4 linked regions of the Rhinolophus ferrumequinum genome follow. The protein of the gene in region 1 purifies or fractionates together with the protein of each later gene. This does not show direct contact. Links are inferred from orthologs where the notes say so. Each region holds a gene or a part of one and is shown in the gene's direction. Other genes may lie near its edges. The genes, in order: NCK1, PDGFRB, WASL and ARHGEF7.

Region 1 (7,046 bases):
AGCTGTACAAATGCAAAGAAAAACCACCCCTAGAAACATAGTGTAACTGCTGATTAACAAAGATAAAGAAACAAAATCTTAAAAGCAGCGAGAGAAAAAGATATAACATTCAGGAAAATAATGATAAGAATTACAGTTGATTTCTCATCAGAAACAATGGAATCCAGAAAACAACAGAAGACATTTAAAGTGCTGAAAGAAAACTCTTTAATGGCTTCTCATTGCCTATAGGATAACGTCTAAGGACCTTAACTTCCATAGCCCGATATTGCTTACATTTCTAGTCATCGTCTGCTCCAGCATTTCTCTACTATTGTGTAATATCTTTTTATGCAGGACTCTACGTGGAAGGCCCTTCTTTTTGCCTACTTAATTGCCAGAATAGCCTGAACATAAAACTCCCCTCCCTCTGTGGCTTAACATCCCTCTGTACATATCTATTGCTTGTATTTACTATTAATATATTATCTCATTCTCGGACACTGAATTGAACTCCTTTAAAGTGATTGTTAGATCTCCACTACCTATTGTAGTGCCTACCACAGAGTAGACTCTCAGTAAATTTTGCTGAATTAATTCCCATAAAAGCATAGTAACACTCAATCCAGAAATTAAATTTAGTTACCAGGATTAATGCACTAATTTCTATACATCACAGTCAAGCCTGTGATTAGTTCTTGCAGATTAGTAAGTGGGACTTTTTTTGGTCCTAAACAGTCCTACCTGATGCTAAACCAGATCATTCTCTCTAATCACTTCTAACTGTAAGCTATCAGTAGTTTCCTGGGAAAGGCCTTGAGATGTGAGATTTATTTTCCATTCCTTGTCTTCCCAAGTCCTTTCATTTCAGGCTAATGAAGTGAGCTGCTTGCAAGTTTTTATCCCAGACAGATTAAATACCCATTTCTGAAGCCCCATTTCCAGTCCATAGGTCCAAAGTTCTGACCAAAATTTTCTTGTTGCCTCATTCTGGCTAGACCCTGGTTCACTCAGCACTAATTAGCAAGGGTGATTCCTGGTTTTGATTTGAGATCTACTAAAAGAGGAAAAAGAAGCCATATGCTTGTTTATGTTTGAAAGTTGGGGAGACAGAGGGTGTGAAAGGAAGTCTCTGGAACAACTCCCATCCCATAAGAACATGGACTCCATTCCTTCTAAGTACACCATGCTGCAATTTCATACATGACTTTCTGCCTAGCTACCCTTCCACCCAATGCTTTCCTCTTTTATTGCTGTTTCCTTATTTTTCTTTAACTCCTCTTTTTCATATATTTTTTCTTTTTTCTTTTTTTTTTTTAAAGAGTTCATGGTAAGAATGGATGATGAGGAAACTTAAGGAAGGAAAACTAAAGGAAAAAACATGTTGTCATGCGGGGTGTCATGCGGGGTCTCTGGTCCCACTCCCCACATAAAAACGCAGGACATGGTGAAGCCAAAAAGGAACACCCACGGAGCCATAGGTAGGGGAGTCACACCACTATACTCTCACTGGTGGCTGGGTTGGAGACACAGGAACCAGGAGCAACACAATTCTCAACCCTCACTGTGCCGCTTGCAGACTCAGCCACCATCTTCTTGCTAGCTCCCCCTTTTCTGCTAGTGTAGCCACGGCAGTTATATTCATGGCTAATGGCTCACTGGTTACAGCTGACGGCCAACTAGCCACAGCTGATGGCCATTTGATCACAGTCGACGGCCATTTACTACCTGAGCCAGCACCTTTCTATGTGAGGCCGAGAGCCTGGAAACTGCTTTCTGGGGCTCTGTCCCCACACGTTTGCAGGGAATTAAAATACTTTTAACTCCCTTAATTCTTCTAATGCTTAAATAGGTGGCACATAGTAGTTAAGATATTTGCATCAAAATCTTGTGAAGGGTCTGTTCAGATCATTGGCCCATTCAAAATGCATATTGCCTTACAAAATAAAATCTTAAGACTTCAGTATATTTTTTTCTGAGTTTATTTTCCCCATTAAGGTAGTGGTATAAGCTGCCTGATCGCAAGGACTACTTTACCTGTTGTAGTTGTATTCAAACCCCCTGCCCCCATCACATGTTAAATGTGTAACTAGAATTCAGCTAGATTTTGCTACCAGTTTACTCTGTGATTTTGGAGAAATAGTTTTAACCTCTGAACAATGGTTTCTCCAGCTTCAAAAATGAATATTCTTTTATCTGAATCCATAAACTTTGTAAGATGTACCAACGAATAAAACTATTGTATTAGTCATCTCAGTCTGCCATAACAAAATACCACAGGCTGGGTGGCTTAAACAATAGAAATCTAATTTCTCACAGTTCTGTAGGCTGGAAGTTACACACCAGGGTGCCAACATGGTGAGTTTCTGGTGAGAACTCTCTTCTTGGCTTGCACATAGCTGCCTTCTCACTGTCTCCTCTCATGGTGGAAACAGGGTAAGCTCTCTGATGTCTCTGCTTATAGAGACATTAATCCTAAAATATTAGGGCCCCACTCTTATCACCTCAGTCAACTTTAATTACCTCCTACAGGCCCTGTCTCTAAATGCAGTCACATTGGAGGTTAGGGCTTCAACATATGAATTTCAGGAGGGCACACAATTCCACCCATAACAGCCATGATAAAATATGCAAAGGTATTTAGACCCTTAGAATAAATTCAAAATCCACTTCTTCACTTTGGATGCTAATAATGGGATGTAGACGTAGAGTAGCTGTTGCAGTTTCAAGAAACACTTGCCCCAGCCAAGTCGAAGGCAGGAAGGGGTCACCGGTGATTTGTGCTTGACCTTGTGATCCTATATATGGCAAGCAAACCACATATATTTATCAAAACTCGAATAATTTTGAAGTTGAATAAAAGTGTGAACTTTTGGGACTGACAGGGCCAGTCTTAAAGACAGGAGAGAAAGATTTACTGCCTTTAACAATATTTACTGACGATGTGTCACATGCTAGGCACTGGGGGGAAACTGAAAACTGACATGGCTCCTGACTTAACATAGTTTACAATCTAGGTAGGGATACGTACAAACTACTATGGGAAAATACCAGTGCTCCATGCAGGGTACCTGACGCAAGCAGGCTTCCCTGAGGAGGCTGGCCTAGCTGAGCCACAAAGACGGTTAGGAAGGAATGAGGCATGTTGAGGGGGGAATGGAGCCCCGGCGTCGGAGAACCAGTTTAACTGCTGTTACCTGGCTGATGGCTGGGGCTGACTGAGTTCCGAGGAGTGGGCAAACCTAGCACCGACGGTCACTGTCCTTGCTCCTCAGAGCATGACCACCACAAACGAGACTAGAAGCTAGGCACTAGGGCACTTCGAAGGCCCTCAGACTCAGTTTATTTCACTTTGTGGCTCAATTTAAGTATACGTCTTACATTTTTCCCTCAGGTCCCCATTTGCAGACCTTTTGGTTTTTCTTCTTTGCTCCCCGCCCCTAAGATCTTTCTCAGGCAGGACCCTCTTCTGGAGCAGAAACCAGGAGGAAGATCCCAGAGCAGTTGGAGCTAACCTCGGGAAGCAGTCATTTGTGCTGTAGAGTCTCTCCGGCGGCGCTGAGGAGGAAGGCCCAAAGCAGTCAGCCAGGGAGGAAAACGCGACGTGAACAGGGTGAGGTCTGGAGATCCTCTCACCCTCCAGCTCTCTCTCTGGGGTCAGCCTCCGCTCACTCCAGCACAGCACTTGATTGACAGGCTTGTCCGTCCAATCCCAGCGCATCGCAGACCACTCTCGCGTCAGGGATAGGAGGGAAGGGGGCGGTTGAGCCTATCAAATTAGGTCAGGAGGGGACTTCCTGCCGGCGCGGATCCGACCGCGGCCTCGCGACCAGTCGGCGCTGCAGCCCCGCCCGCCTGCCTCGCGCGCCCCGCCCCTCTGCTGAGAGCTACGCGGCGGCGGAGCGGAGGCCTCGTGCCGTAACGGCCATCGCGGCGGCCGCGGCGGCGTCCGGGTGCCCTCCTCAGGTGAGCTGGGGCCGCTGGGGCTCGGCAGAGGGAAGGAGAGACGGCTCTGCCGGCAGGCAGACGCACAGAGACCCTTTCCTTGCCCCTTGCGTTCACATAACGTGTTATTAGCTGCGTCGCTTCCTCTTCCCCGGCGAAGTTGGCCCGGGGGGCGCCGTCTGCGGGCCAGGAGCTGAGCCTGAGGGGGCGGGGAGGCCTCTCGGCTGACCTGGGCGTTTGCACTGTGGCTTGGCGCACCCTCCGGCCACTGCCCTGGGGGGCGCGGCCCCGCGTCTTCCCTGTCCGTCCCCCAAGCGCCAGGTCTGGGTGAGCCCCCTGGCTGGCGGCCCCTGCGAGGTTGGGAGGTGGAGTGTACAGCGTGCGCGCTTCTGTTTCTTTTCCTCCCAAAAAGTCATCTTGCCTGTTAAGGCGTAATGCAAGGGCAGGAAGGTATGAACGTGGTAGGGGAAGGAAGGGGCGCGCTCACCTCCAGCCCTAGAGGAGGGGAGGGAGGGACCCGTGCCCTGTGCGGAGGGTGGACATCTACAGGATGCGCCCTCGGCCCCTCCCCCACCCCAGCCGTTTCCCTGGTTCTTGGGAAATCTGGATTATTTTAATAGTTCCGTACGTGAGTTGCTTGGGCTGTGAGCTTTTGACTTGAGTTGTAATATATCCGGTAAAAAAAAAAATTACCTCGATAGGTTGGTTTTGTAACCTTTCTTACGTGTTTCCATGAAGTTAAATTTGCCAATAGGAGCTCGAGAAGCTGAATTTTGTTCAGGGTTGAGAACCATAACATTATAGACGCTCAATTATTGTCGAACTGATGAACTGGTCATCTGAAAATAATTCTGCCCGTTAGATTTGGTAAGAAACCTTACGAGTTAGGAAAGGATGAAGTTAAGGAGAATTTTTTAACTCCGTCTTGGGTGATGAGCAAAGAAGTTCAGTGTCCGGTTAAAAAGGCAAAGTGTTGCCGAGGTATTCATTTTTAAAATCTTAACTTTGGTAGATATGTGAAAACCAACTATGCAATTTATTAAGCACCTGGAAAGCACTGTACCTACAGTCTCAATTTTCAGCGAGGTCACACAGTAAATGGGGAAATAATTTAAGAAGGTTTGGTTTGTTTGGTAATTACACTATTCAGTTTTTAAAATAGGCATTCCATTCAGTTTGACAGTAACTGAAGAAATATGCATTGGTTGACTAGTAGTAGTTTTGTTTCATCTTGATCACAAATTCTGGAATTTTCTTCTTTGGGAAAATTGTGATCTATAGGAATTAGCTATAATATCTGTAAACACTATTTGCAGAGTTCAAGACTCCTCAATGGTGCTTATTTGCATATTAAATTTTAAATTGTTTATTTTTCTAAGCGTTATCTTTTAGTCCGGGTTTTACCACTGCTTTCAGGTCCATGTAAATAAAACTAGAAGCATACAGAGAATGTTTTATTAGATACTGAGTGATACTTTATGCTGCTGGATTTATTTCCTTTGGACCTTTGAGAACTTTCCTCCCAAAGCTCAAGGTACATTTGATTGTTATAAATCACTTGTCAGGAAGACTTGATTTAATAAATACAGATGTAGTCCATTTTTTAAATCATAGTTTAATAACTTTTACAATTTACTCACCTTTATAATACAGAAAATTACCAAATGTTTTCTACCTACACATGAAGACTAAATGACTATTTAGTTGATACATAAAATTGGAGGAAACTCTTGAAATCACTAAGCATTTAACAAATTCTTCATGAATACTTTGCTATGCTTGTTTTAGGAAGACAACTGACAGGGCCAAAATTCTATCTGGATGATCCTCATTTTAAACTATTTCAAAGATAGAATTTATAGTCCTTTTTTCAAAACTGATTCCATATGCTGTTTTGATGATACAAATCTTGGTTTTATCTTTGACTCCCTCAATCCACATAATGTTGGCCAGTTTTTGTCAAGCCATTTTTAAAAATTTCTTTCAGGTATCTGTTCATTTCCACTAGCTTTTAACTAGGTTTTCAATCTGCCGTTTCTTCCTACTCACTACGTCCAGCCTTCTGCCTAATCTTAAAATAATGCTTTGAACATATCACTCACTGTTAAACCAGCAATAGCTCCCAGTTACCTATATAGTTCAGAATTCCTAGCCTTCTAACAATATGCTCAAACCCTAGTTTTTCTAATGACATCTCTGTTTCTCTATAGGAGCTGTACACCCTAACCAAACCAATCGCGTTCTCATTTAGACTTTGTATTTTTCTACCTTTATATCTGTTGAGACTTTGAATGTCTATGCGTAGTCTAGGTGTTCTTTAAAAGAAATTTATCTCGCTAAAGAACCCAAGTAGCAAACGAAGTCAGATTTTGTTGAAGTTTCATTTTTGGTCCTTCATCGCAGCCTTCCAGATCTTTCTATTCTCTGTGTTTTCCTTTGAACTTATAGCCCTTATTTTATCATTGGGTTTTAATCTGATATGGGCATGTATCATAATATCATGGAACGATATTGTGGGAAAGTTGGAATCTAACCTTCCGTTTTATAGATAAGGAAAATGCAATGCATACAGAATAACTGCACTGAAATTCACACATCTTGTAATGGTGGCAGAGTTAAGACTCAATCCTTGACTTCCTATATTATTTCCTAACTCAAGTTCTGTATATTTTTAGAAATTTCCTGTGTGTCTCTTATGAAACTGTATTATTCCTCTCTTGCAATGTTGTTTTGTGTTGTTTGCTTCACATTACTTTGCGTTTTGTGTACTTGAGCTTTCTCATAAATTCAGAACTTTTTATGGGGACAGAGGAACCTTCATGACCTGCATTATTTAAATTATTGAAACAGTGATTTAAAAGTCTATGTACAGCCTTTTGTATCAACAACATTAACAAAAATATCTCTATAGTTGCTTCCTATGACCCACTAAAAAGTAAATGAATCTCTTACAAGTTTTACTGCTGGAGTTTGTTTCAGTTTCTTGATAAAGAGACTGAATCTTTGGGGGCCTTGAAAGTAGATGGAAACAATATAATGGTTTGGAGGAAACCCCTGAGGGCTTATCAGGTAACTAAATTGAATGATCTAGCTAAATGTTCTTTTTCTCTTTTTAAAGTTAG
Region 2 (7,229 bases), on another chromosome or scaffold:
AGATTTGTGGCTTCAGAGGGTCCTGCTGTTGTGATGATCCTTGAGCCATCTGTGTACCAGAAGGGGCACTGAGGCTGTGTTCCCTGGGGCGCTGAGGCTGAGGCCAGCTGGAGGCTGGGGACAGGCCGAGGTAGGTAGAGTCTCGAAGCCCTTATCTCCTGAGACCCTGTCAGGTCTTGGTGGCACAGTCTGGTCCAGTAAGAGCAGTCCTAGTTATCTAGGGCAGGAATGTGGCCTAAAGGCCCGCATTAGTCCCTCTGCCCAACTCGACAACCAGCCACTATGCTGAGTGTCCAGGAGGGGAAGGGCAATTCCCACTGTGGGCCTCTTCTAGCTCCCCGGCTGCAAGTACAAGGACCTACCTGCTCAGGGTGTACAGGGTGGAAGGATACTGAGCTGGGGGCCAGGAGTCCTGCTAACTTTTCTCTCTCTGCTAACCTTGGGCAAGTCCCCTCTGTTCCCTAGGCCTCAGTTTCCATGCCTGTATAATGAACTCACTCTTAGGACTCTTCTGACCATGACTGTGCTGATGGTGCCTGGGTAGACGTGTGCTGCTTCCTCGGCCTGAGCCTGGGGAGCCTGGGGGTGGAGGGGCCAGTCCCGGGAGCGTGGGAGAGCCAGATGTGGTGGCCGCTGGCCCTGCCTGAGTGAGAACTGAGCCGGCCTACTGGGAATTCTCCCACTCAGGCGCCCTTTCAGGACCCCTTCTCCCCCCACACCCACCCCACTGAGAACTGTGGCTTCCGGCTCTGTCAGGCGTGGGTGGGGGGCTGGGGGGTGGTTTCGTTCAGCCTGGTTCCCTCCTTCAGGAAGCGCATGGGCCTGAGAGTCTAGACAAAAACTTCAGTTCCAGTCCTGGTCTTGCAGTCATTTTCCATCACTGGGCCTCAGTCATCCTGGCTGTACAATGAGGGGTGGGCTGAGCTTTCCTCCTGCCCTGATGGAGGGCTGCTATGACAGCGGCTCCCAGAGACACCTGAGACTCCGTCACCTGTTGTGGATCTTTTTGCTCTGCTGCATTCCTTGTATAAAATGCCTTCTGTGCATCACTTATTTAGGCCTCTCAACAACTCTGTGAGGTAAGCACATGTATCCCCATTTTATAGCTGAAAACACTGAGGCTGAGAGAGCTCAGATCATGTAATTTGTCCAGGACCCACAGCGAGGAAGAGGCAGAGCTGGGTCGGAACTACAGACATCAGAGCTCAGCTTGAACGTGCCGCTACACAGTGGGGAGGAAGTGCTGGACCCCAAGGCACAGAGCTCCGCTCTGCCTCTGCACCATATCCCACTCTACGTCAGGCAGGACTCCCACACTCCACGCCATGCCCACCCACTCTCAGCCCAGCCTCCTCCAACACAGGATTGTTTGAGGCCGGACCAGGCTCCCGGCATCTGGGCAGGTGGGAGACTGTTCATGGCTCCTCCTGGCCATGCCAGAGCAGAGGTGCTGCACTGCCCACTGCCCACCCCTTCAAAGTGCACAGGGGGAAATGAGGTCCAGAGAAGGAGGGCTCAGCCCAGGGGCACACAGTGATGGGGTGCTGCTGGAATGAAACCCACTATTTCAATCCTACACTTCCAGACACTGTACTGAGTAAGCCCTTTAAGTGCATTACATATGGCAACAGTTCTACGAATCATTCCTCAAATTATCCATTTTCCAGAGGAGAAAACTGAGGCTCAGAAGCTTAAATGACTTACTTGCCCAAGGTCACGTAGCTTGGAACTACAGAAGCTAGGATTTGAACCCAGCTCTGTCTCTGGTTCTCAAACCTGCCCTGTCAGTCATGACCCTTCTGTCTCACCCGTCCCGCCCTCGGAGAATGCCCTGTTGTGTTCCACATGGCTCTGCACCCCCCCAGCCCCATCTCAGCTAAAAGGAGGTGTAACAGCACTGGTGTCTGCCAAGGGTTAATGGTAGTAGGGGCTAAGTGATTCCAGATGGGCCAGCCGGAAGATTGGGCTGGCCGGAAACTGGCGGCCGCCAGCTTCCCGGGGGAGCCACCACCAGCCACCCCCGCCCCTCTGCTGCATCTCTGGCCCCCAGCTGTCCCCTTGCCCTGGGGCCCACCAGCCTCCTCTTCCTAGCCAGAGTCCAACTCTAAGGAACTTGCAGACAGAGCATCCCAAGGGCCTTCCAGCACAGTGAATCCTCCCATGTGTTATGGGGATGGGGAAACTGAGGCTCAGGGAGGACAAATACCTATCCAAGGCCACACAACAAGTCCACAGCTGGGTCTCCTGACTCCCAGACTAGCTTTTGGAAGGACTAGGGATTGCAATGCCTCCTTGCTGTCACAGAGCTGTCTTAGTCCCAGCAGTTGGGCCAAGACTTTGGAGGTGAATGACCAAAGCAAATGCTAGGAAGGGACTTATAAACACCAAAGGAGTTTTGGGCACAAGAAATCCCTATATGGCCTGACCCTCTGGGTTCGGAGTCCCCCGTATTCCCCTATGACTTTGCTGCTACCAAGCTGGGCCAGCCCCTCTTTTGGGAGGCTCTCATGGCCCCCACCCCTTGCTCTGGGGCCAGTCTGAGAACCGTTATCCCTCTGTGTGGCCCAGCCCAGTTGCTCTGCTGTGCAGTCCCCAGGACAAGACCAAGAAATGACTGCCAAGAGAGGTTACTGTGGTTAGCATGAAATCCCAGCTCAAGCAAACCCCCTGCCCTGTGAACAAGGCCCTGGGGGAGGCAAAGATAGAGGCAAAGAAGGGCAAAGACAGAAGAGCAGAGGGCAGGATGGAAGGAGCCCTGAGAAGAGTCAGGCTCTGTCCATGTGACCTGGGATACCTTTCTGTCCCTCTCTGGGACTCAGTTTCCCGTGTGTACAGTAGTGGGAGCCAGGGGTAACTCACCACTCTTAAGTCCTTTTAAAATGATGCTGTGTGGCGTGTAGGGGCCAAGAGTTTGTGGCTAGCGACACCTTTTGATCTGAGGACATGAGGAGGGGTGGAGTGAGGGATGAGGGTCTGGCCGGGGTCCTGGAGGAGATCCTGGTGGGGAGGGAGGGCAGGAGGGTAGAAATGGACCCTAACAGGTACTCGGAAACACCTGTTGAGTGACTGAATGAGAGACGGGAAAAGGGATAACCTAGGAAGAAGGCAGGATAGCAGGGCCAGTCTATACTGTAATGTGGTCCTTCCCTTGTCTGTTCCACCGTGCCACACGTGAGACCCAATTCTGCTCCAATTCTGACATTGCTGTGTGAGCTTGGGAAACTCATTTCACTCCTCTGGGCTTCAATCGCCTCATCTATAAAATGGGGAAATAACCCTTTCCTGGGGTTCCAGGGGCTTTAAGATGATAGAAAGGGATATGTCTGGAAACCTGAAGTATGCTTAGTGACCTTGGGCAAGTCTCTTTTCCTCTCTGAACCAGTTCACCGCTGGGCCTTGGTTTCTTCTTCTGCGAAGTGGCTGATAATCTTGGAAGGTCTTTCCATCTCTTCTAAGTCAGCTCTTCTCAGAAGTCCTCTCTGATTCCCTCCACCCTCAGTCAGCTGACCCTCTAGCTCCACTCTCAGATGCCTGCCTCCTCTCAAGTGCCTACCTGTGCACCGTCTGTCTCTCCCACCGGCCTGGGCACTTGTGAGGTCAGGGACTGTGTCTTACTCACTCTGCATCCCCAACACCCAGTGCAGTGTCTAGTAGGTGCTCAACATGCTGTTCAATGAATGAATGTTGACTGAATCAACTGTATAAGGGATCAGACCTCCCCTTACAGATGGAGAAACTGAGGCACAGAGAAGGGACCTGCTCCCAGGTGCCACGGTAAGTGGAGGCTGCTACCTGAGATGGGCATCAGTGGAGTGGGGCTGGGGCACTCTTTAATAAAAGTGACTCAGCGTCTGGCGTGGGCTGTGGAATTTCTAAACATCCCCTCACATCCTGAGAGAGCAGGCGACGGGAGGGAGCAAGCAGAGGGAAAAGAGGAAGAAAAACAAGAAACTTGGGGGGAAAGAAAGAGAGAGGGAAAAAAGCTGAAATTGAAAACAGACGCACGCGTCCACCCTCCCCGCCCCACCGCCCCCCTTCTCTCAGCTGGGCCAATCAGAGGCTGCCCTGCAGCCTTTCCCCCAAAGTAGGGGGGGCAGGGAAGCCGGCAGTGGTGTGAGCGTTGGGGGCTGCCAGAAGCCCGCAGTCCCTGCCCGCCCGCCCCGTCTGGGACCCAGGATCGCTCTCTGAGCAACTTGGAGTGGGAGAGGAGGAGGACGAGAAGGAAAGCGCTGGGGCCGCTCTGACCAGCACTGCAGGGCAGCAGCCAGTGCGGAGCGACACAGACAGCCAGACCCAGGGCGGCCCCTCCTGGCAACCCTGCTCCTCCCGAAGGATGCCTTGGGCGTGAGGCCACTCCTCACCCCTGCAGCCCCCCACTTCCTCCCCTCTCCCAAGGCTCCGGGAACCTACCACGGTCCTTTCTGCTCTCCTATCTAGCTGTTGCCCCCATTTCGGGCCGGCAAAGACTCTCTGATAACAGGAGAGGCAGTGAGGAGGACTTCCTGGAGGGGGTGACAGCCCAGAGCCCGGGACCTTGTGCACATCAAAAGGTATCAGCAGCAAGGTAAGTGCTTGTAGAGGGGTGATCCCCAACTCCTTGTCCTGTCCCCAACTCCAGCCTGTGCCTTCTTGGATAGGTCAAAAATGGAAAATATTTTTAACAAAACCAGATGGGAGGAGGCTGGAGGCTATGGGCGGGGGACATCAGCGGCGCTGGAGGGACTAGATTTTTCCTCTCTCGTGCTCAGTCCGCGTCTGGGGAGGGTGGCCCCAGCCTCCTCAACCCTGCTGCCCCCTGCCCTCATCAAACAAACCCCAGAGGTTTCTGGGTGCTGAGTGGGGGCCTCCAAAGCACAGCAGTGCCTATGGGGGATGGGGCGAGTAGGGAGGAGCATGAGAAGGAAATTGGGAGATGGCAAGCAGGGCACACCAGAACGGGATCTAGCAGGGGCCAGGGAACCTCAGAGCCATAACCCCTGTCCCTGGACCTAAGCCTTGTCCCTACGAATCTGTCTGGCTCTAGGCCAGTGGCCGCCAGGCAACCTCTGGGGATTTAAATGGATTTGCAAATTTTCCAGATTCCTAAGATGTCCTTCCAAACCCCCAGCGGCTGGGAAAGTGCAAAGGCGAGGGGGCTGGCACTTGGCAGGCCATGTTCAGGCAACTAGGGCTGGGGGTCTTGGACCCTGCTGGCCATCAGATCTGGGGGCCCCTCTGTGAAGAAGGGGGGTGGGCCGCTGGGCCCTTTCTCCTGGTCCCAGGCAGCTGCTCAGGCCTCCTGGCTGTCTCCTTCCTTCTGGACGCTGCCCCTTCTCCACTCTATCCTAAAACATGAATTGGACCAGGATTCTTTCTGTGACTCTCCCAAGTAGAAAGCCCAAACTCCTAACCGCGCTGCCACTGATTGACACTTACTGCATGCCAGGACGGTGTGGAGAGCTTTGTAAGTGTGATTTCGCGTACCACTCACCAGCAACTCCAGAGGCAGGGACTGATTTTACGCCTGCCTTATGGGTGGGGAAACTGAGGCTCACAGCAGCCACAAAACTGTCCCACACAGGAAGGAAGTGGCAAAGCATGGGGAGGTAGTGCTCTCCTTGCCCCATCACTCCACACTTGGTCCTGTGGTCCTATTCCTTCCAGTCAGAGCCCAGGATTCCCAGAAGGAATTTGCATAATCCTGTCTGTGGACTCGTTCTTCCTCATCACTTCCACTTTCCCTTCAAGGATTCTCCCTATTTCACCTCCTCCAAGCAGCCTCCCAGGTTCTCCAAGTGCTCGCTGTGCCCTTTGTGCTGGAGGCTTGTTGCTTGGCCCTGTCTTGCTAGTCGTGTTCTGTTTGCACATCAGTGGTTGATCAGGCCCCTAGCTTCCCCATCTTGTGTTCTGTCCCCAATTTCCCCAGGTGGGCAATAGGGCTGAGAAAATGTGCTGGGGAAAGGGAGGAGGGACTCACTGAGGACTTTCTGTTCCCAAGTGTGAGACGAGAACCCAGGCCTTCTGTCTTCCCTCAGAGGCCCTTCCAGAACATCGTGCGGTTCTTCCTGAATGCATTTTTTTATGTCAAACAGGGAAGAGTGTCCCTGCCTGCCTCTGTGATCCCAAGGTGCACAGAGGCCTCTAGCGTGATCTTCTGAAGTTAAGAGTCCTCCCCTGCCTCCAATCTGGAGGTCCCCGAATCCACGACACTTGTTGGTCATTGTCACTGAGTGCTGACTCTGTGCCAGGTGCAGAGCCTGGGACCTCACATGCCTTGGAATCCCCACAGCAGCTCTTTGGAATCAGCATGATTCCCCCTGCTTTGCAGACAAAAAAACAGAGGCTCAGAGAAGCTAAGTGACTTTCCCAGGGTCACACAGTAGAGGTGGTATTTAGGCCCCCGGTCTGCCTGGTCCTAGGGGAGCATATCTCCATCCGCCCACATAGCCTGCGCCTGCCTCTAGCATGGTCCGAAGCAGAAGGTTCAGCAGCAGCCTGACCTGCTCCTGGGTCTGCCCGACCCTGGCTCCGTCTGGAGTGGGGAAGAAACCCACCTGGTCCGCATCCTCCCCTCCCCCATGCTCAGGCAGCCCTCCCTCCTCTGTGGGAAGAAGAGTTGAGACTTGTAATTGCCCACAGATGTGGGGCAGTGGAAAGCACCGTGGATTCAGAGTCAGGAGAGCTGGCGCTTGCCCTGGCTTAATTCAAATCCACTGTGTGGCCAGCCTCAGACCCCCACTTGTTCTTTCTGGGCTGCCTCCGCATCTGGAGGGCAGTGGGCACCGTGGGTAAACAACACCAGGTCTGAGTGTCAGTTGGCCATGCGTTAACCCCCGAGTTGACTTCTGCCTGACTGTGTGACCCTGGGCTACTGCTCTGCTCCTCTGGGCATCAGCTCTCAGCTCCGTGAGCGGCAGGGCGATATGTGGGTCCCATGAGATAACAGGGTAGGTCAGACGCTTAGCACAGTCCCTGCATTTCACAGACAGGACCTGATACCATTGGCTAAGAGAGGGCCGCTGCTCTCCCGCCTCCTGCACAGGACACTTGGCTGTGAAATTGGTCTGCAACCCGTAAAGGACCATGCCCATGGAAGGGGCCTGGCCAACGTGCGTATTCTAAAGGCTCACTTCCATCCTCCAGGTACAGTGGGCTGAAGGAGGGGATTTTGCTCAGCCTGTTGAGTGTGGTGAGGAGGAAGGGAGGATTGAGAGGGTCCCCAAACATCCTTGAAATGCTCCTCCTGCCTA
Region 3 (8,007 bases), on another chromosome or scaffold:
AAAACAAAAAACCACATAGGTGGATGTAATAGATTCTGATACATTTGATTATGTGGAAAATAGTATGAGATGAAATTTTATAGTTGTTAAAGAATATAGAAAAAATGAAAAAAATTAAACAAAAGAAAATTTGAGGAAATTATTGAGGGGTGAAAAACAAAATTAAAATGGTACAAGAATGTAAATGTAATCATAGTGTAATACTTGACTCATCAGAGACATACATATTGTTCTATGTGATAATGATTTAAACACAAATTGTGCTATAACTATAATGGCGGAGAAAAAATGGGGGAGTGTTAATTTAAGAGAAAGAAATCGTCACCATTTACAATAGGAAGTTAATAGATAATGCTGTCAATTGATCAATCAATACATAGCAGCTTGGCATACTACAATACATATCAGAAGAAACAATGCAAAGCAGATATATTTGGGGAGAGCACATGGGGATAGAGAAGGAAGCATGGAGCTTGTTTTTTTGTTGTTATTAGCTTTGTAGTACTATTTTATTTTTAAAATTATGTGCATGTATCAATTTTATAAATCTAAAACTTGATTTAAAAAAAGTTAATGGTATAGAACATATTCACCCCAATACTTTCAGTGAGGTAATGGGACACATGGCTTCGTCATGCTGCCTACCATCCATAATGTAAATTAACCTTGAACACATAATAAAGAAGCCAATGTTTGTCCCCTCTCCTCTGGAATAATTAAATTGGGAGCCATTGAATATTCATTAAAGTTAAGGAGCAGGGGAGAGAAAACTAGTGAGCAGCATCTGGGGAACTACAACACACTCAGTTCTTCAAATAATTTCTTGCATAAAGGCATGCATTAGGTATCTGGAGAGTAGGCCATATCGTGGTAGTTACCATCACTGGTAATTCACTACCATAAGTAAGAATTTAATGTTCCACTAACACTAAGAAATCAGAATGGGTTGTAAATAAACTATCCATTCCTAAAAAAGAAAGTCCCAAAGAGGCTTGTATTCAAAATGAATTGAAAAGGGAGAGAAAAACAGTTTGGTAGCTTACTTTTCAAGATTTCAGTTGATGACAATTAAAATACTTAACATATAACTTGGGAAAACAAGTACCAAGACAAATTCTCTTAAACACTGCCACATGCAACATTTACATGAAAATGTGAAGATGTTTTACAATGTGAACATTCTAAACCCATGACACTTGAAGGTTGCAAGGGAGAAGGGACAATCACCCCCTTGCCATATCCGCGCTCGCTGCTGTTGTCTCTATAACTCAGTTCTGCCAGTCAAGCAGTAATAGTTAAGTCAGTCCTGCTAATTGGCCACGGCTGCTGAATGCCAAGATCCCTGGGTGCAGCTGCCTCTATATTCCCCTACAATGATGGGTGTCACTACAGTTTAAATTATTAATATTAGCAAGGGGAACAGGGTGTTTCAGAGGACTTGTAACAGTACATAAACAATGATATTTGTAAAGAAGTAAAGTGGATTAACAAAGGACCAGGATAGGAGAAATTTACAATGTATAATAACGGCAGGGAATGCATCTGAAAATATGCCCTCCTTTCCATAAATAAGGTATCCTAATGTTTTGTTAAAAATGAGGACTGTAGTTTAAAGGATCGTAGCAAAGAAAGAAGAAAATGAAAGTACTAGAATAGATTCTGAATCAAAGAAAGTCAAGTGGAAGAACTTTTAAAAATTGCCTTATTCTTAGTTGTATTCATAATACAGCATGTGCATTTTACAGGTATATGAAGATAGAATCCCTACAGTATTCTTAACCTAGGTTACAAACTTCAACATACTCACTTGAAGGGAAATAGAATCCTTCTTATTTCCTGGATCAAATCCAATTTCTCAAACTGGGTAAAAAGAATTTGAGATAAGAAAATAACTTGCCAAAGAAAACAGAGAGAAAGATGTCTTGTGTTTGGCTGAAGAGAGGATATGCTATCAAGAATGAAAGAAAGAAAGGACTTGCTAAAACTTTTCGAACAAACAGAGCCAGTACTGCTTGGTCTCACGATGAACATGGAAAAATAGAATCCTTGTATGCATAGGAAGGGGGATAACCCCAAATATTGTCTGTGCACGTGTCCCAAAGAATAAGGAAGGCGCATTTAGTGTTCACACTTATATTTTCCACATTTTAAGAACAAGGAGTCGAAAAAAGCCCAGATGAAAGCAAAAGTAACAATGAAGGAGTTGAAAATAAGAACTTAGACTGTAATTTTGTGGACAAAATACCATATTTAAAATTTTGAGGAAAAGCTAAAGAAGCAGTTTGGGCTTGAGAAAAAAAGCCTGTGGTGGTTATAATTTTCCATCTTCATTTCTAAAGCAAAAAAGAACCGGGCAAATGGTCAGAAAATTTCACTTAGAAACATAAGATTTTAAAAATTTTCTCAAAGGAAAAAAAGTAATTAAAACAATAAACAGTTTAGGCTAACAAGAGGTTGTGAAATGATTAGAAGCCAGTGATTCTCCATGTGGGATAGATTCTTCAACGCATAGCTACTGTCCATTCACCCATCCTCCCGTAGCTTCTTTTTCACAGCCCTCTTCCACATCTTTCTACTATCTTCAAAATGGTTTGGTGGACTACAAGTTTTAAAAGCGGGCATTCCAACATAAAAATTGCTCTCATTCACTTTTTATTAATTAGAAACTAATATGATTCTGTCTCTAGATTTCTCGTTTTAAAAGCTTTGTAATTTTGGCATACTGAGAACATAGAGCCTATGTGACATAACATATACCCTAATTAGAAATTCTGCAAACACAAAGTGATACCCCAAATTCACTATGTATTTGGAGAATGACGCAGAGTTCTAAATAGGAAGGACAGTTTTCAAAGTATCAGGTTTAGATAGAATAACGATAAAAACACCCATTTCAACTCAACTCTTGAACCTTTAGCTAAGGGAAGGTAAGGTAGACCATAGGTAATGATGGTGAGTGACAGACAAGTAATATTTGAGTAACCATGATGTAGCAGGTACTTTACATTGTAATCCTGGTAAGTTTTACAACTTTGAGGTAAGTTTAATTATGTTTATACTATACCTTTATTAAATAGAAATTATTTTCTATTTTACAGATGAGGAAACTAAGACTTAAGAGAAGCAACTTGTCCAAAGTCCACAAGGTTGTAAATGGCAGAACAAGAACTCCAACTTAGGCCTATGTGAAGCCTTTATTTTTGTTACTATCCTGGTTTGAAAATACTAAGGATCTAATTTCTATCATTTCTCAAGCATTTCTAATGCTTTCCACTATTACTGCGGTTTTAATTTATAGGAGCCTCAAGTTTGATACAAGACTAACTGCTTTAGCTTCTAGGTTATTTTATTAGCTCTGTAATTCAGAGGAAACTCCAGGTTGACATTTCTACTATTGTTTTTCTAAACTGAATTATTTTATTAAAAGTCCACTCGCTTTTTAAAAAATCACATTTTCCCTAACGTTATTAATCAAATGTAATTTTGAAATGTCCATATTTTGTGTGAGGACTCCCAGGACTACATGACCGCATTTACCTTTGTCAATTTGTTCCCACTTAACTTCATTAAGGGCAGTTCTCAAGTTTCATATTTTCAAAGTGCACTGATAATGGCTTATCAATCTGTTTAGTACATCAGAGATTTGTATTGGAAGCTCTCAGAGATGTTAAAATCAATTAGTTTCATCCAATTTTATTTGGCATAGGATGGCTTAAATTTAATATATGGGAACTTTATTGAAATTGAGTAATTAGCAAACATGATGGTTCAAGTTTATCCAATAAATGCTGATTTGTTTAAAGGGGAGAAGTCAGATGTTTATTCTAATTCACTGTTGTGGGTAGTATTTATCATTTCCATATTCCAAAACTTCGTTTTAAAAGTTGAACATTAAATTTATTGAACAGAAGAGTTTATCTTGGGTAACTTTCAATATTTGGAGGTATACGAGTTTTTCTTTTTTTTTAATTCCTGAGATTTACTTCTGACGATTAAACCAGATGATGTATTTTCCTGTATGGCAGACATCCCCAAACGGGCACAGTCATTTTGGATAAGAAGAAAACAAGGTCTTCGGGGTTTGAGAGAAACAAAAAGATGAGAAGCGAAAAAAGGAATATTTTTCAATTCACAAGACAGGGGTTAAAAGGCGTGTTCAGGACCCTTAAAAGAAAAGATCTTGGATTTACATGTGACAGACACACTCATCCGATGTGAGGAGACGCCAGGCGGACGGTAGAAATCTCAAGTGCGTTTGTTTTTTGTAACGTCCATCAGCAAGATCTCCCTTTCACAATGCTGGGTGAGGCCTATTTGTTCCTCCACTCCCACTATTGAAGTTTGGACAGAGTTTAAGAAATCCCAGGCACCTGCGGCTCTGACCGAAACCGGCGAGGAGCACCGGGGACCACGTCACTTCTCTTCAGTGTCCCGTGTCCGCATTCCAGACTTTCTTGCCGTGCGGTGTGAGCGTCCCGGTTTCCGCGCCCCAGAAATCAGAGCCATTCCGGGGAGGGGGCCTGGGTCCGCACAGACTCTTCGCAAAGGTCGACGTCTGTGAAAGAGGGACCGGCAGCTCGGGGCCGGGGCCGAGCGTCCTCTGCGCTCCAGACAGCAGCCGCTGGGCCGCAGCAGCCGGGAGACGACAGTAGAGGCTGGTCCCGCACCCCGCACCACAGCCTCGCATCAGACCGCGCAGCCCGCGCCTCGGCCGGAAGGGGCGGGGCTCGGGGCCGGCGCGGCGAGGCCGGCGGCGCGTGCGGGGGGGGGCGGTTCCTCCCGGGCCCGGCCCGCAGCCGAGTTTCCGGCGCGCTCCCCCGCGGCCTGCGTCTTGTGGTCTCGCCCGCCCCCGCTGCCATGTTGGATTGTGCGGCCGCCGCCGCCGCCGCTGCCGCCGCCGCGGGAGGAGGGTTGGAGGAGGAGTTGGGAGTTTAGCGCAGTCGCCGGAGTGCGAGGGCAGCGACCATCCGGCCAGAGCCCAGCCGGGCGGGAGTTGGGAGCTTCCCTTACTCCGCGCGGCCCTCCGTCGGCTCCTCCTTCCCGTGGCCTCCCTCCTCCTCCCCGCGCCGGAGGAGTTGAGCGAGATGCTGCGCCTCTGACTCCCCTCCTCCCGCCCCTGTCACCGAGAGGGGGGACGAGCGCTCGCCCACTCGCCGGAGGACACGGACCTGGACTCCCAGCCCCGCCGGCGACACCATGAGCTCCGGCCAGCAGCAGCAGCAGCCGCCGCCGCGGAGGGTCACCAACGTGGGGTCCCTGCTGCTCACCCCGCAGGAGAACGAGTCCCTCTTCACCTTCCTCGGCAAGAAATGTGTGGTCAGTGGTCGAGACCCGCGTCGCCACCACCGACGTTACCTCACGGGCCCGGGCCGGGAAGTGGGAGTGGGGATGGAGGCGGGAGCGGCGCGGGGAGGGTCTGGCTGCTGGCCAGGCCTTCTCCCGGCCCCGCACGGGCGCCCTGGCCCCGCTCCCTAGGTGCGGGCAGTGCGGGCCCCGGCAGCCGAACGCCGCCACCCGGAGCTGACCGGCAGCAGGGAAGTGTCACCTCCGCAGGCCTGTCTTGGAGCCCTGCTTGGCCCGGCCCTCCGCCCTTGCTGCTGGTGCAAACTTGACTCTCAGGCCCAAAGGCGATTTTCTTGCACGAGCTGCTGGATCTTAGCAACCCGGCCCCTGTCCTGGCCTTCGCTTCACCTCCTCCCGCTTGATCGGGGGGTCCCCTCCGTCACAGTGCCAAAGGTTTCAGGAGTGGTTAGGTTAGGAAATGAAACCCAGATATGAATGAAGCGGACCACACGGTGGTTTCAGTTCCCCTTTAGGATCTCAGGAGGGAATGCTGTGCAGTGCATGGGTGCAAAAGGAGGGCAGGAAATGCTACTGTACCCCACTGCAGAGAAACGGTTTGTTTCTCCAGCGTTCTCGCCCAGGCCTGATTTCTACTGTCCTCCCCACTTATTTATTTATTTTTGCATTGGTGGGAGGAGGCACTGCGCTCCCCACTGCCATGCGCAGGGGAACCGCAATCTCTAGTAGTTCTTGGCCTTTTGGGGCCGGAGAACGATTCTTAGATTGGTGGTGTGCGGCCTGTTCCGACCCCAGATGGCGGGTTGGGAGCCAGCAGTTCTGCTGTGGGAAGGGGAATGTGTGTTGTTGACGGAAGCATTCATTACATTGGCTGCCGGCGCTCCTGGGGGTGGGAAGGTTCTGCCCTGTGGTGTAGGCCTTGTCAGGCTGCATCTTACTGCGGTGGCTGGGTTGAACTGTGGTTGAGTTTGTTGCAACTGCTGAGTCCATTTCTTGCCCCTTTGCTTGTTAGCACCTGCAGAATATGTGCCGCTGGAACCCAGGAAACACCTACAGAAATGTCAACAGAGCAGTTTTACAACTTTTCTTAGTAGTGTTAAATATGTCAAACCAGGCTACACCTGCTTGTTTAAGAAATTAGAACTAGACAGTTTCTGGAAAGTTACCGGATTAATTGTTAACTTTATAGGTGGGAGTCTACCCTTTGTGTTCTGTCCCATCCAGTTGGGGATTGAACCATTTATTACAGGCGATTCAGATGTGTTTCATATTTCAGAAGTTAGACCTTAAAGAACATATTTGGAGTTTACTGATTAGAAGAATTAAATAGGAGTGGCTTAAAATCAGAATTTAGGAAACAACTGTAAAGATATTCAAGTTTCCCTCCCCCCCACCAGCTTTTTTAAACAAATGAGAAAGCTGAGCCAGTGAGCCCTAAGTCACACAGCAATTTAGTAATGTAACCAGAACTAGAAAACCAGGACTCCTGATGCCTAGCCTGTGTACTTTCCACTACATCATGTTGTTTGAGAACGGTTTGTTCTCCCTTGTTATTATTTCTAAAAGTTAAAGAAATAATCATTTTTTATTTTTTTTTTTTTACCAACACCAGATAAAATTAAAAAGTGTGAGATTCTTAAAGCAGCACTAATTTTTGCATATGTTCAATTTAGGAAAATCTCCAGCACTTTGAATGTTAAATTATCTGCAAAGAAAAAAATAATTAAAATTTTGCTGATTTATTACATTTGCTATGTAATCTGTGTCAGAAAGGAAGTAGTTTGTGACTGTGTTTTACATACCAGACACATTAGCTTTATGCAGGAAGGACGTTGGATTTATATGCAAGTATACTTACTAATAGCTTTGTGCTTACCTGTACTGTTTACTGGTTTCAATAAATGGCAGGTGTGGAAGAATACTGTGCTAGAGAAAGAGAGTGTTGCTTATTGGTTAGTGTGAGTTGGTTGCTGAATAGGCTTTCTGTATTCAGGGCTCAATTTCTTTATGTCATCTATTATTAATCAACTTTACCTTTTGAATTTCTGTCATATAAAACCACACTGTTACCTGCTCTTCTGGTATGAAATTATTTCGAAGATAAACTTCAATATTCGACCTCTCCGGTTATTGGAGAGTAAAGTAAGAATGATGTATTAATTTTTTGGAACCATCTTTTTTTCCCTTTGATGACTATGCAGTTTTTGTAGTTAAAACAGTACTGAAACACAGTTTATTTAAAAAAAAAAAAATCCAGCAATAAGATTTACAGATCAGACCACACTTACATTTGTTAAGCAAGAAGTATATTCAGAATCGTAGTCATGGTGCCAACTCTCAAGGAGTTTCATTCCTTCTCTTACTCAACAAATAAGTATTGAGTAACTAAATGCTGAGGTCAAAACCAGGGTTGATGCCTGCCCTCAGGGAGCTTACAGTGTTTGAAAAGGAAAATGTGTAAACTGATGAGTAAGTCAGTTCTTCAGAGTGATGTGTAAGAGGTTGCATGTCACATTGGAAAATGTCTTTGTTTTGTAGTCAGCAGATGGGGGTTCAAATTTATATGGTCACTTTGGGCAAGTTTTTTAAGCTCCTTATCCTCGAGTTGGTTTTCTCATCTCTAAATTATGGATACTGTCTCTTGGAAGGGGTTGTGGATTAGAAGGACTGTATGTAAATGTATAGATGCTATTATTTTTATAAAGG
Region 4 (8,227 bases), on another chromosome or scaffold:
TTCTAAAAATTGGGTTCCAATCAGTCAAACCCATAATTTGTTTGATGTACTTTTTTTTTCTGGAATAAGTCAAAAGGTCAGAAAATGGGGCAATTAAAAATCTTTCTCTTTGGAAGTCGACATTACATTCAAATGGATGAAGCCATTTACAAAGCAAAAAATTTTCATGTAACATTGATTTTGCTACCCCAGGATAAAATATGGCAGGCAACTAATTATGTCACCAAATAGTTATTTGTTGGTATCTGCTTCTGTTCTTTTTCAAAAAGTACTTCTCCAACAGAAATTTTTTTAAGGCTTTGCATGGAATATAGGTAAAAATATCAATGGGTGTTTTAAAAGAAAAATCAAAACACTACCCTCTTTTAAGATTAATGTTCATTTCAGACTTGACAACAGATCAAAAAAGTCCTCTTGCCCAGTCGTCTATTCTTGTCTCCATTATTTTATGTAGTATCCAGTCAAGAGCACTGAGGATGACAGTCATTGGTATCTTTGAGCTAAATTCACATGGAGGATAAAACAGATTTGTAAAACACTTTGTTTTCCAACAAGCCCTGGCTGTTATAGTGTCATTAGGATTTAATATTGGAATAGTTTAATCTTCAAATGTCTGTTGCTTTATAAAAAGTAGGTTTACAACAATATAAAACACATAATTTATTTAAAGGGATAGGAAAAGATAAAGTGAATCAGGCAGTACACTAAATCCGAATGGACTTATTTTCCTATTTAAAAAAACACAGACACTATCAAAGAGGCATAAAAAATAAACTACAGCTTATGCTGTTTACACAATCTAACTTAAAACAAAGTGTCAAAGAAGAGTTGAAAGTCAGCCACCAGGGAGGAGCACCAAATGATCAGGTAGAGCTGGCACAACAGCCATCCACCAATCAGGGACGGTGCATTTGGCATGGCCATGGACGTTCTGAAAGCACAGGAAACTATGGACACAAGTGGCCCAGAGCTCCAAATCACCTGTCTCTCTTGATTGGATTCCCAATACTCCTCAGTTCACGCTTGTGACATTGTGGAATCTTTACTATGCCCAGATGACAGAGAGAGAATGGGCCTGGTTTACAAATGGATTTGGTTGATAATTTGGTGTGAATGAATCTGGACTGCCGTCACACTACAGCCCAACTCCAGGGTGGTGCTAAAGGACAATGGTGAGGAGATGCCCTCTGACTGGCAAAGCTTGGAGCAGTTTGCTGGTCATCTCCTTTGGGTACAGATGCTTGGGCACAGTCGTGGGTGTCTGGGCTCCTTGTTTGGGTGCCTGGAAGGGGCAAGATGGGATCAATGGTTGCAGGGAAGTGGTGGAGGAGCTGTGGAGGAAACTGTGGGTACAGACACGGGCGTGTGGGTCTTGAGTCCCACATCAATCTTCAGAGTATCACTGAAGAAGGGACACTCAGCAACCAGGCACACAGATGGTGTCTGTAGCCAAGTGAAGCCAGCCCAGGCTTTGCTTACCAACACAGGGCCCTGCACAACCGGCCATAGTCAGTCCGTCATGGCGGTGGGGATGGAGGAGTGCAAAAAACCACGCTGTGGCTTCCTTCTCATGAAGGCTGACCTAACTACCCACAGCAGAGGCTGATTCTAACCCACTGATGAGGTAAAACCAGCCACTTGTTGGCAAGGTGATTACATGAGAGCCCTACAGTCCTGGAGGCAGAAGCAATTCATCTCACTGGATGGATACTTGCAGGAAACCAGCTTGGGGGTGACTTCCTGCAGAGTTAGGATGTGGCACATACACTGAACCAATGGCTTTTATATCGTGTTGTGCCCCCACGTAGCTAAAAAGGAGCATCCAGGCATCAATGGGTGGAAATACCATTGGCCTCTCTTACCATCACTCCCATTGATCCACTTAGGGTATTTGTGCCTCCTGCTCTGCAACTTTAGGCTCTGCTGTATTAGAAGTCATTGCCCTGGGGAAGACCCTCAATCTCAGGAGATGGGAGTCGAGGCATAAATTTTAGCCTGCCCATCCTCTGGTCAGAAAATTCTGAGACCTGCTCCACTGTTTCTCGAGGCTCCCCAGGGGATCTGAGCCCCAGTTGCTCATTTATACACCTTTGATTCACTTTTCTCCCCCTCTTGTTTCCCTTTCTCCCCTTCTTCATTTGTCCATCATGGGATTACTTCTTAAATAAACTACTTGCTCCCAAGTTGTTGGCCAGGATCTGCTTCTGTGGGAATCCAAACTAAGATAAGGGCTTCACCGACGTTATGTTTCATAATATACTATATTGGTAAAATGTCTTCCGAGCCTGAGTAATTTTTCAGCCATATATGTTTTTAAGCTATTGTTTCCTGCCTTACATCTTTAATTTTTTGTATGTGACCATATTTATGCCAAATAAATAAGATACAGTTTGATAAAACGAGTGCCTTAACATACAATAGATACAATGGACTTCACATAACTGCTTCTTACTGAATTGTTCAATCTAGATAATGGTCCAAATCAATAAAATTAATTTTACAGACAGTGATTGCTACACATTTCTAGGTAAATAGTTATCTGCCTGTCTGGCTTTAGGTTGGGGTAGATTTTAACATCTTTGTAACACCATCATCCAAGTACCCACAAGCTAACAAATCAAGTTAGCCCAGTTCAGCTGAATTTTGGGTAATGGTTTGTGGGTGTACCCCTAACAATGCCTGGGATCAGGAATGAACAGGCAGTCGAGCTGGGTGTGAGGCTGAAATCCTCTCTTGGGAAATGAGGGAACTGAAGGACATGTGCCTGAGCTGACATTGACAACCCAATAGAACAATGAGTTCTCCTCCATAGCACATGTCCCCTATAATAGGAACTTGGAAAAATATTAAGTTTAACCAAATGTCCACCTTGGATACTAAAACAGCTCAATTAAATACCTAAAACACCTAGCTTTGAACAATGTTACTTCTAGCATGCTCCAAACAAACATTTTTGAAATTAATGTACATCCAAGGTAAAAGAATGCCACTAGTAGCTATAAAGCATTTAAACATTCAGGGACTTCTAAGGCCAGTTATAGGTGGCAGTTATTACAGTTATTATCTGACAATAATTGGCTGCCAGGTTCATTGGTCACCCAAGGTCACTGCCTAGAGCTGTCTTTCTGTAGGACCATTTGATTGAGTCAAGTTGAATGTTACTCTTTTTTACTAGATTATAATGAAATTTGAAATTGTAATGACTGTATTCTAAATTATGTCTCCAATTCAGCAGTAATGAGAGTAAACAGGAGACTCAGTGGACAACTCTTGGGTCCATACCCTTCCCTTGATAGAGTCTCTGAACACAAAACTTGATCGAGCTGTTGATTGCGGTTTCCTAGAAAGCGTGTAGGGGAAGTGGTCTAGAAAACAGGTGAGGTGTGTTGGTCCTGGAGTCACAGAGCCCACGTTTGAGTCCATCTCCACCCCAGTAAAATGGGGACAATGAGAACTGTGCTAATGATGGTGTGATAGAATGCAGGGAGAGAGCACTGGGCAGAGGCACAGGGCGCCCAGGAAGTGGTTGCTGTTACAACCAAATATTCCACCCTCATATTCCAGAATTCATAGTGCTCTTTGAATTACTTTGTGTTTGCATTTGGAAAAATTTAAGCACTTAAAGCTGGTAATAAATGCAATTCATGATTACAATAAAAGTATTCTGGAAGAAGGTGAAGAAGAGGAGAGTTAAGCCTCTTTTTTAAAAATCTTTATATGGTTTCTAAGTCTATGTCATTTACTCTACTAATATATGTGGCACATAGTAGCTCTCTGTAGGTGAGTGCTAATGCTGTTTTAAACTGTCACAGGGAAAGCACTCAGAGACTGGATGGAGAAAACAGACATACATGTACACCTAAAACCTGCTTCTTTTAAGATGAGGCTCTCTTCCTTGGTTAACATATAAACGTGTCAGTGTCCTTGGTTGTTTGAAAAAGCTTGTTCATTGTGCATCATTTGGTTGTCTTAGTACTTTAGGTCCAACCCTGCACGTCTTCACAGCATCTCTTGCCCAAATGTGATCTGGCCAAGTGGCCTGTTTTGACTGAGCTGTTTGCACAGTCCTTCCTTCCAGTTCATCTGTACAGATACAGTTTAGGCTCTGCTGTTTTCTTGACCTTCCTACCAGCGTTTGAAACATCACCATCAATTTAAAGTGGAGCAGCTCTGAGGTTTCTTTCTGGTCCTGGAGAGTGGGGCCGACTGCCCCCCAGCGAGTGAGGTCACTTGCTCGGAAACAGGCCTCCCAGCAGGGGGCACGCGTGACACCGGCCACGCTGTTTGGGGCATCCACGCCCCCCCGCCCCCGAGGATCGTAGCAGCGCCTGGAAAATCAATTCCTCTTCAAATTAGACCCATCTGGTTACAGATATAATTATCATTTGTGTTCTGTAATTATTGGCTTACAAGGTAGTGGAGAGAAGCACTCCCCCACCCCTTGAAATAAAACTGGCAAAAATAAAAAGAGCATTCTGGGAAGCATTTAATAATTTAAACATTTATGAGTTAAGAATATAAATAAACGGTTCCGAGTCCTTCCAGGAGGGGAGAGGGCGGCGGAAAGGACAGGGCAAGGAGAGGAGTCTTGCTAGGCTCTCACCTCTGGAGGGGGTTGCGCATGGGCCCCGCAGGGCGCAAACGGTTAAGAGCGCGCGCCGCCCGCGGACTGGGAGTCCCCGCGAGCCCTCTCTGGCAGGCGGGCTGTCGCCTCCTGGAGGTCACCAGGCCCTTGGGGCGGGAGTCCACTGCCAGGCGCGCAGGTGCGGACACGCGCGCACTGCCGGGCCTGGGGGGTGGAGGGAGTACCACCGCGGGGACTAAGCGTGGGGGTGCGTGTGCGGCCGGGGGGCCGGGCCGTTCCAGCGCGGCGTCTTTTCTTCTTTTTTGCAGTGATGTCATCGGCGGCAGCGGCTGGGAGCCGGGAGGCGGCGGCGGGGGCGGCGCCGGGCGGCCGCCGCAGGTTCATGTGCATGTAATGAAAAGGCACTTGACAGTCGGCCAGGACGCACGCGAGGGAGCGCGAGCCGGCCGGACCGCGGCGCCGCCCGAGCCAATCGCCGTCGCCGGCCTCTCCATGGGCGAGCAGGAGGAGGGGGCGGTGAGCGCAACCGGCCCGGCAGCGGCCGCTCCGCGGTGAACCGCGCGGAGACGGGCTCGCGGCGCGGGGAGGCCGGCGCGCCGCCGCTATGAATTCCGCGGAGCAGACCGTTACGTGGCTCATTACCTTGGGGGTGCTGGAGTCGCCCAAGAAAACCATCTCGGACCCGGAGGGCTTCCTGCAGGCGTCTCTGAAGGATGGGGTGGTCCTCTGCAGGCTGCTGGAGCGCCTGCTGCCCGGGACCATCGAGAAAGTGAGTGCCCCTGGCCCGCGCCCCCACGGCAGACAGGCCCCGGCGGTGGGAGCCCCGGGAAGTGGGAGGCCTTGCTCCCCGCCTTGCCTGCGCCGCGGCCCGGGATGCGCGGAGACGCGCGGGCGCTGGGCGGCTCGCATCCGCACCTGGTGGCCGCGCGGGGATGGGAGAGCGCGGGGCGCGGGGTAGCCCACGCGCCTCCTTTGTGCGCAGACCCGGGAACGTGGCTCGCGCGAGGGGCGCGCTGGCGGCGCGAGGACCCAGTGGCGGGAGCTTGGGGCGCCATTGTGTGCGGTGCGGGCTGGGGCGGGGGTCGGGGCTGCGTTCTAGGGGAACGACCCCGGGGAGGCCCGGAGGGAAGGGGAGCGCTCTGCTCTGCCCTAAGGTGGAGTCGCCCCTCTCCGTGACCCGATCAGAAAACCGTGCTTCAGCACCGCGCACAGCTTCCTCGGAGGCTTTGTTTGAACAGCTTTTGTTGGTGGTATCGTATGGGAGTTTCGTCCTCCGTTTAGTTGACCAATTGCTGTGCATTTTTTAAAGATGCATTCATAAATAGCTGAGGGCTGGGTTGTGAAATGATTTACTGCCCTCCCCACGAAAGAATCCCTCAGGTCTCTAAACCCAGAGGATTGCAAATGCGGGGTTGGAAAGCCCTGGCATTCTTCAAGCTGGCTTAAAATTCTAGATTTCATTTTCAGGTTCCTACCTGATTTTGAACAGAATCCCTAGCCCTACAGATCCTGCTTCTTTTCTTCGTGACTGGTGGTTTCCCCGGGGCTGGAGTGTGAACCTTGACCCGCATCTCTGTGAGTGATTAAAGTTTGCTTTCCTCTCCCACAGCTGACAAAGCAGGGGCGAGGGGAGAGAAGCGCTTTTAAAAAGGATACATTCTCTATATCTGACAAACACTACAATCTTTTCCCTTTCCCCCCCAATACATAATCTTAAGGTAAACAATTACTTAAAAGGTGTTAAATGTAGAAATTAAAGTAACACCATGATTAGGAAAAAACTATTTTGTTTTTTAAATGGGCATATTGGCCCTAATGCACAATAAAAATTTGCTAATAAAAATATTAAGTGACTTTAAAAATTAAACTGTTTGATTTTATAAGTTTGCACATGTCCTGGTGCTACATTTTAAAGGTCAGAAAAGAGTTTATTAATATGAATTTTGCATACATAGTAGTTTTAGTTATTTTTCTTACTTGGAACGTGTTTATGAAAACATAATCTGCACTGTAGGGTGAATAACTTCCTGCCTGTCCTGAAAATAAAAATGTTGCTTGTAAATGAACCTGATGTCACAATAAAATTATGATTTAAGACAGGAATAAGGAGCAGGATCTAACTTTCAAGGCACTCAAAATATTTTGTTGTCATCTGGATATCAGAATCTCTGGTAATAAAAGACAGATGTTTGAAAAGCATTGAAAATGCATGCTAAGTTTATCAAAATAGGCTTACATAAAATACCATTCCATTCTAAGAGTGAAACTTCATATGCTGTCTAGATAAAAACTATCAATGCGTGTTATAGGCCTATTAACTACATTAATATTGATTGGCAAACTTCAATAATCATTTTCTTTTAAATTCTAGGAAGATTTTCTTAGAACACTGTAGCATGCCTTTCATCTCTAGAACAACAAAGAGAGGAATGAATAAAATGTTTAGTTTGAAGAAAACCCAACATATTCTAGAACTATTGTCATTTGGAAATTTCTTCTATTGAAGCTATTCTTTTATTCCCCGTAGGCCCCAATTGGTTTGTTTTAGACTGAGACTATCACAATGAAAGTTTAACATCAGAGTAGCAAATTATAGTCAGCTACTCATTCTCTGTGGTTCAAAGGTAGGTTTTTGGAGTAAAATATTAGCCATTCGCTCTGCCTCTGAAACCTTGGGTTTCAGAAGTTTCATGAGCTTTTTCCATTTCCTAAGAAGAGTTATTTATTTGAGCTTTTGGATGTTTGCATGCACAGCAAATAATGTATGCCACAAAGCACACGCGGAACAGCTTTCCCTGGAATGTGGGAATGTTAGTCTGAGGACGTTTTTCCTTAAAAAGGAGCATTTGGAAACTGAACAGAATATTCATATGAAATTGAAAGGATCTTAACTTTACTCCTGTTTGCCTCATGAACACACTGACAACTGGTTAATGGGATGTAAGCAGCCTGCAATTTAACATTTGCAAATTCATAATTAAAAATTTTGAACCATTAGACTGGGAATAGTGCATAATTAAGAAAAGTTTTAGGGTGGCTCAGATTTCCCATATGCCTTTTATTAGGAAAACATGCCCTAATATGTTCCTTGCATCATGCTCATTTGTTGTGTTTTAGAGCCAGTAAAAGGGTGGAGAACTAAGAGGAAATTCATTTCGGTTCAGATTGTTCTGCTCATTTAAAAAAAGTTTTCTGTTCAGGTTCTCCTTCATATAGTTCTGCTTTTCTTTAGGGTGGAAAGTTGCACAGGGAAAAGAGGGGACTATAAACTTTACATGAGCAGATCAGACAAGACACACGTTTCATTATTTATTACTCATGATGTTTTCTGCTGCAGGGGAGAGAAAAGTGGGGATTACAAGGTTTCCCAGATCTTCGTGTATGGGGATCCCATAGTTTGATTTTTCTCTGGTAATGGCCAGAATGTTTTGCTGACCTGCCCTCACTACTTGCTTCCCTCAGTCCTCCTGTGGTGGGAAACACACAAGGCCACAGGATCCAGTGAGACCTATCGGCACTGAGCTCATGAGTTAACACTTTAAACATCCCTAGCCTATTTAATCACTGGGAGTGAAGTCAAGATACAGAAGTTTCAGAGGATGGAATATTACTGTTAGATTAACAAAATACATGAAAATAATG

Evidence for each region.
Region 2: the proteins of NCK1 (region 1) and PDGFRB purify together in Homo sapiens (affinity purification with western blotting; 3 studies listed by BioGRID and IntAct, with this or other methods). This does not show direct contact. The link is inferred for Rhinolophus ferrumequinum from reciprocal best matches to the Homo sapiens genes NCK1 and PDGFRB.
Region 3: the proteins of NCK1 (region 1) and WASL purify together in Homo sapiens (co-immunoprecipitation; 4 studies listed by BioGRID and IntAct, with this or other methods). This does not show direct contact. The link is inferred for Rhinolophus ferrumequinum from reciprocal best matches to the Homo sapiens genes NCK1 and WASL.
Region 4: the proteins of NCK1 (region 1) and ARHGEF7 purify together in Homo sapiens (co-immunoprecipitation; 3 studies listed by BioGRID and IntAct, with this or other methods). This does not show direct contact. The link is inferred for Rhinolophus ferrumequinum from reciprocal best matches to the Homo sapiens genes NCK1 and ARHGEF7.

What each region holds. Positions count from the first base shown.
Region 1 is NC_046300.1:36,440,400-36,447,445, forward strand, and holds the start of NCK1 (cytoplasmic protein NCK1), read left to right. Parts: upstream 1-3,819; 5' UTR 3,820-3,945; intron 3,946-7,046. UniProt on the Homo sapiens protein: Adapter protein which associates with tyrosine-phosphorylated growth factor receptors, such as KDR and PDGFRB, or their cellular substrates. Maintains low levels of EIF2S1 phosphorylation by promoting its dephosphorylation by PP1.
Region 2 is NC_046307.1:22,396,260-22,403,488, reverse strand, and holds the start of PDGFRB (platelet-derived growth factor receptor beta), read left to right. Parts: upstream 1-4,103; 5' UTR 4,104-4,564; intron 4,565-6,964; 5' UTR 6,965-7,122; intron 7,123-7,229. UniProt on the Homo sapiens protein: Tyrosine-protein kinase that acts as a cell-surface receptor for homodimeric PDGFB and PDGFD and for heterodimers formed by PDGFA and PDGFB, and plays an essential role in the regulation of embryonic development, cell proliferation, survival, differentiation, chemotaxis and migration.
Region 3 is NC_046309.1:20,782,497-20,790,503, forward strand, and holds the start of WASL (actin nucleation-promoting factor WASL), read left to right. Parts: upstream 1-4,852; 5' UTR 4,853-5,196; coding exon 5,197-5,316; intron 5,317-8,007. UniProt on the Homo sapiens protein: Regulates actin polymerization by stimulating the actin-nucleating activity of the Arp2/3 complex. Involved in various processes, such as mitosis and cytokinesis, via its role in the regulation of actin polymerization.
Region 4 is NC_046287.1:54,062,962-54,071,188, forward strand, and holds the start of ARHGEF7 (rho guanine nucleotide exchange factor 7), read left to right. Parts: upstream 1-5,189; coding exon 5,190-5,354; intron 5,355-8,227. UniProt on the Homo sapiens protein: Acts as a RAC1 guanine nucleotide exchange factor (GEF) and can induce membrane ruffling. Functions in cell migration, attachment and cell spreading. Promotes targeting of RAC1 to focal adhesions. May function as a positive regulator of apoptosis.